Rattus norvegicus: one gene and its partner. The protein of the gene in region 1 binds, or shares a complex with, the protein of each later gene. Links are inferred from orthologs where the notes say so. Each region holds a gene or a part of one and is shown on either strand. Other genes may lie near its edges.

Evidence for each region.
Region 2: Piga (region 1) and Pigy share a complex: the UniProt entries of both Homo sapiens proteins name them as parts of the glycosylphosphatidylinositol-N-acetylglucosaminyltransferase (GPI-GnT) complex. The link is inferred for Rattus norvegicus from reciprocal best matches to the Homo sapiens genes PIGA and PIGY.

The regions. Positions count from the first base shown.
Region 1 is NC_086039.1:33,680,869-33,684,684, forward strand, and holds part of Piga (phosphatidylinositol N-acetylglucosaminyltransferase subunit A), read right to left. Parts: coding exon 3,183-3,816; coding exon of another isoform or gene 2,965-3,182; exon of another isoform or gene 795-2,964; coding exon of another isoform or gene 752-794; exon of another isoform or gene 1-751. UniProt on the Homo sapiens protein: Catalytic subunit of the glycosylphosphatidylinositol-N-acetylglucosaminyltransferase (GPI-GnT) complex that catalyzes the transfer of N-acetylglucosamine from UDP-N-acetylglucosamine to phosphatidylinositol and participates in the first step of GPI biosynthesis.
Region 2 is NC_086026.1:28,965,128-28,968,402, forward strand, and holds Pigy (phosphatidylinositol N-acetylglucosaminyltransferase subunit Y), read left to right. Parts: upstream 1-1,297; 5' UTR 1,298-1,572; coding exon 1,573-1,788; 3' UTR 1,789-2,749; downstream 2,750-3,275. Other genes in the region: uncharacterized protein Pigyl1, read left to right, coding at 1-112, 348-986. UniProt on the Homo sapiens protein: Part of the glycosylphosphatidylinositol-N-acetylglucosaminyltransferase (GPI-GnT) complex that catalyzes the transfer of N-acetylglucosamine from UDP-N-acetylglucosamine to phosphatidylinositol and participates in the first step of GPI biosynthesis.

The DNA of each region.
Region 1 (3,816 bases):
TTCCAATGATTCTTTCCTTAATAAGAAACTTAGTTTTGGCTATTGTGAGTTTCTAAAATGGCCTATGTCTCTGGAAGCTGCTCAGAATTTTGTCACTTTGTGCAGACACTAATGGACTTTCAAAATGATTATTACACCAAAAATATATTTAGACATATGTTTTCTGAATGAATAAGGCTTGCTATTGAATGGCTAACCAGGAAATGGCTTAATGCCACTTAATATTTAGCTTCCTACTCCTCCCACTTTCCTCCTTTAAAGGAAAACATCAAGTGTCCATTCTTCATAAAAAAAATGAAGCAGTCATAGCTACATTTACTAAACTCTTAGTTCATTTACAACCTACTACAAATGCACTAGGTCATTTAATCCTGACTAAAACCTTATAGGAAACTAAGCCAGTCAGTCCCATTAATGTTATAGTTACTATATATTCTAGTAGTACAGAAGGTTTTCTCTCCTTACTATAAAATATAAACCAACAAGCTTCCTGAGGTAAGATTCTAAAAAAGACTCAAAACACGACACACAAAGAGACTGCCAATCACATTCACATAAACCTGACAAAAACCACTTCTGAATCAAATTGACTTTAACTCACAGTCTTCACCATGTTCTAAAGAATGTTCAGATATGTTCTAAGATACCAATGGCCAGACTGAGGGTAGGGACAGAAAGAGACCTTAACTCAAGCGCTGAACTCTTATTTGTGATCTGTTACTTACTGTGTGACCTTGGGCGAGTTACTTACCCTCTCTGGGACTGTTTCTTTGTCTGTTACATGCAGGTAACATCTACCCTACAGTTGTTGGGGCAAGTGAGGTACTGTACCATGCACAGGCTTTAGCAACTGCAGAATACAAATGTTAAGTTGTCATTACCACTAGAGCAAGTATCTGGGGTGGCCTGCACCCACAGAGAACAGTGGGAAGCCACAACTACATGGAAAGAACAAGGCTCAGAAGCCAGCCTTTTCTCCACGAAAGCTGGGCAAGGAGAACACAGCTTTATCCTCTTAATCTACGTCAATGGGCCTTGCAAATCTGGGCCACTGAACGTCTCCCAAGGGAATTACCCTATTAAGAAGAACAGACCATTAATATAACTAGTCATATTTGGGCCATAGATGTGGCATTCCTCCTTGTGTTACATTTTACAGGGTACCTGGCCTTTGGAGAAGGTTCAGTAGATATTTATTGAGTAACTGAACTGAAATCAGGAAAGGGCCAGGCAGTAGTGGCACAGGCCTTCAATCCCAGCACTTGGGAGGCAGAGGAGGTTGGAGCTTTTTAAGTTCGAGGCCAGCCTGGACTATAGAGTGAGTTCCAAGACAGCCAGGGCTACACAGAGAAACCCTGCCTTGAGAAAGCGAAGAAAGCAAAGAAAGAGAACAGAAGAAAGCAAGAAAGAAGCAAGCAAGAAAGGCAGGCAAAAGAAAAAAAGAGGAAAGGCCGTAACTTTGATGTTAGCTCCGACAGTTAGAACTCCTGAGATAACAGAGGCTGTTTAACCTTTGTATGAGTAAATGTGCTCTCTCCAATCACACACACCATCATTCTTTTGCCTTTATCTCACCAAGCTAAGCTATTTAATTACAAAATAAGTTGGGCAAGATTTTAAAGTTATAATAAAAACATCAACAATATCCCGGCAGGGGTTTAAAATACAGAACTCCATTCATATCATCTTGATAAAATACAAAGACACAATTTCCTTCACCTCAGAATATGTAACTGAGTCCAAGTTTTCTAACCAACCTCCACTTACTTAATTACTTAAAACCTCTACCTAGACTGGCCATTGCCGACTCCTGAATATATTGCCATGTGGCCCAGCATACCCTCTTGGCATTTCTGCACAAATTCATCGGATGCCCACTTTCCTTATGACTGTATTGAATAATTAAATAGTGCATAAGCTGACAAATTTCTATGGAAGCTAAATAGCTTGAAAAGCCAATAAATGAATATCAGGGAAAAAAATGTCCTTGTCAGGTGAGAGGTAATCTAAACTGGAATAAAACTGAAAGCAAATTAAAAAACCAGGACATTGTTCCCAACACTTTAGCCCCACTCCCATCCCTTTAAAGGAAACCCAGAGTGGCAACGGTATGCTCTATGAAGGCAACCATGCAATATGACCTAGGCAGTCAGTGAGCTAATCCCAAGACCTAGAGCTCTAAACTAAGGTCCCTACATTCAGCGTGTGCACAAATGTTTAAAAATCAAATAGTTAAGGGGACTATGTAGTATTTGTTACTGCCCTCCCCAACTTCAAACGATATTTCTGATTATTGGACAGCTTTTTTTTCAACTAGCATCTGGGAGACCATTTCTATGTTAATAAGCAGGTTGTTTCAAATGTGTAACAAACACAAATGCTACAGTGGGGACCATTAGGGCCACAGAAACTTGAAAGTCAGCAAGGAGAACAAAATACTCCTGAGGGATAAAGGCGGACTGGGGTGGAAAGTAACCTAGGCAGAGATCTTTTTAAGAGCTGTCTCTGAACCTTCACAAAGTTCCTGCTGTGACAAATAAAAAACCGACACAGATCTATTGAGTAACCTGTCCTAGATGGGCGATGAACCAGGTTTTGACTCTAGGCCACTCTACTCCTTTCTATCACTTGACTGCTGATATTAGTGCCTTGCATATCGTAGATAAAACCAGCAAGCCACGGGATATCCATGGGGCCAAAAGGCCCACTGATTCTGAACACCAGGTACAGGTGCACAAAAGACAAAAGTCAGCCATGAAAATAGTCATTAGGGCCATCTCTGAATGAAATCGTCACAGATGTGCTTTGCAAATGCCTGCAATAAGAAGCCATTACTTCTGTGATCAAACAAGAAAAGGCCACACAGCACATTCTTACCTGCACAGAGATCTCTGAATTTTTACAAAGATCTGATTGGAGGACATCTGGTCAATGGCTTTCTTTTGTTCGGTAACCATTACAACCTCAAAGGTTGGGGCAGCATTTATAGCCGCTTTTATCCATTTCTCTTCTTAGATGTATAAACTGATTATCTGACCTTCCCTTGCAAGAATTACCAGTCATTATAAAGCCACCATACAGAATAAAAAGACAAGTAATCATCACATACAAGTATTGAACAGTTTCTGACAAGAAATTTAAAAAAAAAGCTGTCAATGCAAATAAAGCTACTATGTTATTACCTTTTCTGTAAACAAGTCTGCTGACAACAACAACAGTTATTACACTATCATGCCTCCTAAATGGTTCTGGAGTGAAGTCAGTAGGATCTACAGCGTTAGGAATGACGGACACTATTTCAGGATTCAGTGCTGCTCTGAGTACAGTGTTCTCCTTACTAGTGTAAGAGACACAAATGATGTGGTTTGTGTCACAAAGAGACACAGTAAGAAGCTTGTTTGTAAGCACCGAGCTGACATCAGCAAATCCAAAAAGGGAATGGTCTGTGAAGACTGTCTGAAGCCCCATTGTCTTGGCGTGGAAGAGAGCATCATGGGCCATGGCAGAGAAAGAACTGTGGGAATGGATTATCGTAATTCTCTCCCGAACAAATATGTACCTGAGCAATGGCAGACTGTGAAAGAGAGTCGTGGCTGTAGATTGGTTGTACATGACTCTCAGAGGCAAATAGTAAACTTTGAGGCCATTGGTGAGGTAACGGACGCCCTTTCGATTTCCATAAGCATGGGTGACAGTTATGACTTTGTGCCCCCTCTCAATGAGGCACTGAGAGAGCTGGTAAATGTGGCTTTCCACACCTCCCATGTTTGGGTAGAAAAAGTCAGACACCATGCATATATTATGAGTGCAGGTCCT
Region 2 (3,275 bases), on another chromosome or scaffold:
CCCTCTCATCGGCCCAAACTACTATTTTGACATTCACCAATTCAAACGTAAAACGACGGATCGGACTCGTTCCCCGCTGCTTCAGAGGCTGGGTGATGGTGGCTGCGACCAAGTTTGATTCAGGCTTCAAGTTTATCAGTTAGAAATGGGGAAAGCTTTTCAGCGCAGAAAGACACCGGTCTGCTCTGGAACGCCGTGAACACACTCTGCGGCAAATACGTTCCTCTCCAAGGTCCAGCAGTCCTGGCACACAGGACGCCCAGCCGGAGGCCGTGGGGTCCGGGGCAGGGAGGTCCTTATCAATCAGGGTCCTCTCAGCACCCCTCTGGCTTCACCCGTCACTCAAGACTACGGGGGCGGAGCCTGAGCGCCGGAGCGAAGGCGTGGTGCGCTGTCCAATGAGCACGCGCGGATCGGCTCCCTCGCGGGATCTGGGTTTCTTACCCCGCCCCCTCAGGGATTTGATTGGGCGGCTGGCCCGGGTGCTCCGCCTTCGTAGAGCGGTGACGGTCACAGCCAGGCGCAGCCGGGACCCGGACATTTACAGGCCAGTGAATGGTGAGTTCAGGGTCTCGAGATCCGATACGGGCGGAGGAGCTGTTGGAACCGGCTGGGACAGGACTCGCGCTAGCAAGGCGTCTGCGCCACGGACGCCTCCGGTTCCGCTTGGCTGGCTGGTTCACTTTCGATTCGGCCGGGTTCTCCTCTGCCCTGTTCGGCTTGGTCCGGTTCTCTCCGGCTTGGCTCGGTTCTCTCCGGCTTGGCTCGGTTCTCTCCGACCCGGCCATCGCTACCCTCGGTCAGCCAGAGACTGCAGCGGGACCCGGGTGCCCCTTCGCGTCCCCGAGGCGACTGGGCCCAGGGCTGGCGCTGTCTTCACTCTGTGCATTGACGACGGGCGGCTCGTGACGAGGCTCCGGGTTCCGGTGCTGGTCCCCAGCCGGTCCTCGTCGTACGGGAAGCCTCCACTCAGGTGTCTGAAGTGAATCTGGATTTGTAGGTCTCATTCCGCTTCCTCGGTTCGAGAAAACACTATCAGTCCACCTGTCCTTCATTCTGCTTTTCGAATTTCTTAGTTCCCAAAGAAATGGATGACACTTGAGTGTTTTGAAGGTTTGTTTTCTAGTCGGGCGTGGTGGCTTGGGAAGACTGATGCAAGAGGATCCCAATGTTTGAGGCCAGACTGCAAGTGACAGCAATCCTCCTGCCTTTAACCTGCTCAGTACTGTACAGGCTGTTTCCCCTTCTTTTCCTTTCCCTTCCCCTCATCTTGTCATCTTGCACTTTTCTCATACAGTAAGGAATCCTTTAGCCAGCGCTGCGAGGGACACGTGTGTTGTCTGCAGTCGCTGGTAACCGCTTCGTGTGGTGGTGGATTGGATCAGAACGAGGCTGAGGAGCCGTCACCCTCAGCCTGGGACCGCTGAAGTTTTTGTGTGCTCTTGGGAAGCATGCCTGGATGAAAGAGGAGTCCAGAGAAAGGGAAGATAAGACAGGAGTGCACCAGCACAAGAACATAACTTTGAAAACAACCGAGTTTTCTTGAACTGTATACCTTCAGAAGGGAGGAGGATGATCCTGTCTCTGCCCACCCTGACTGTCCTCATCCCGCTCATCTCCCTGGCGGGCCTGTTCTACTCCGCCTCTGTGGAAGAAAACTTCCCAGAGGGCTGTACCAGCGCCAGCAGCCTGTGCTTCTACAGTTTGCTTCTGCCGGTCACCGTACCGGTGTACGTGTTCTTCCACCTGTGGACTTGGATGGGCCTGAAGCTCTTCAGACATAACTAGGGTAGCTGAGGCCCCGCTTGTGCACGGGGCAAGAGGCTCCTGGTTGTTGGGTTCTGCCCTCAGGTGTTGCAGATTCTCCTGTTAGTGCTGTAGCTGAAAAACACTTACAATAAATATGTCCCAAGGGAGAGGAACATGACCGGTCTTCATCCGAAGACTGTTTTTTCTAAGATTTATTCTTAATTATGTGGATATGAGTGTGGGTCCCCAAAGAGGCCACACGAGGGTTGGAGGTACGAGCAACTGTAAGACTGCCGGAGCTTTACTCAGATCCTCTGCAAGGGCAAGCAAGTTCATGTCCTTAACCCCTGAGCATCTCTCCACCTGCCTGTTTCCTCCCTTCCCTTAGTTCTGGCTAACCTCAAACTGTGAGAGGCAGACCTTGACCTCCTTACCTTCCTGTCTCTACCTCCTGAGTGCTGAAGTTATAGGCAAGCATTGCCGCATGTGTTTATGTGGTCTGGCAGAACCCAGGTCGTGAACGCTAAGTCGGCACTCTGCCAGCCAACCACCCTGAGGACTGTGTTGTTGTTGTTGTTGTTTTGAGTCCATTCATTTAAAAGTCCGTCATTTGGAAGCCGAGCAGTGGTGGCACTCACCTTTACTCCCAGCACTCGGGAGACAGAGGTGGATCTCTTGAGTTTGGGCCAGCACAACGAGACTGTAAAAATAATAATTTGGGATTTTGTTTCAGCTTCAAGGTCAGTGGTGAGGTGTTGGATCTGCTGAGACAAGGGTTTCAGATGGTTGGGAACTACTGTGTGGGTGCTGAAGAAAATCCAGTGCTCAGGGATGACTCCTTTGAGGAGCTGAGTGGTCCGTAGGTTGGTGGCTCACAACTGCCTGTATTTCCAGTTCCAGAGGCTCTGACTCCCTCTGCTGGACTCTGGGTACCTGCACACCTGTGACATGTCTATTCATTCACACACATTAATAAATTTATTTTTAAGAGGGAAAAAAATCTGACTATAAACTTACCTTCATTGTTTTTTCTTTTACATTTATTTTTTTTCTTTTCTTTTTTTTCAGAGCTGGGGACCGAACCCAGGGCCTTGCACTTGCTAGGCAAGCGCTCTACCACTGAGCTAAATCCCCAACCCCTCTTTTACATTTATTTATATGAGTACACTCTAGCTGTCTTCAGACACACCAGAAGAGGGCATTGGGTCCCATTACAGATGGTTGTGAGCCACCATGTGGTTGCTGGGAATTGAACTCAGGACCTCTGGAAGAGCAGCCAGTGCTCTTAACCACTGAGCCATCTCTCCAGCCCCTACCATCATTTTTTCAGTGTCAGGTGAGCAAGGTCAGTGTTGGTGTTTTCTGGTTCTTGGATTCTTATTCAAGGAATAAAGGCCCATATACAGATTTTCAAAGTTGCAAGGAAATTTCACTCAAAGCAGAGCTAGATCAGGCATGCAGATACATGAGCCTATGGGGGCTCTTCTTACTCAACCACGACACCTGTTCTCCCAGCCTAAATTCCT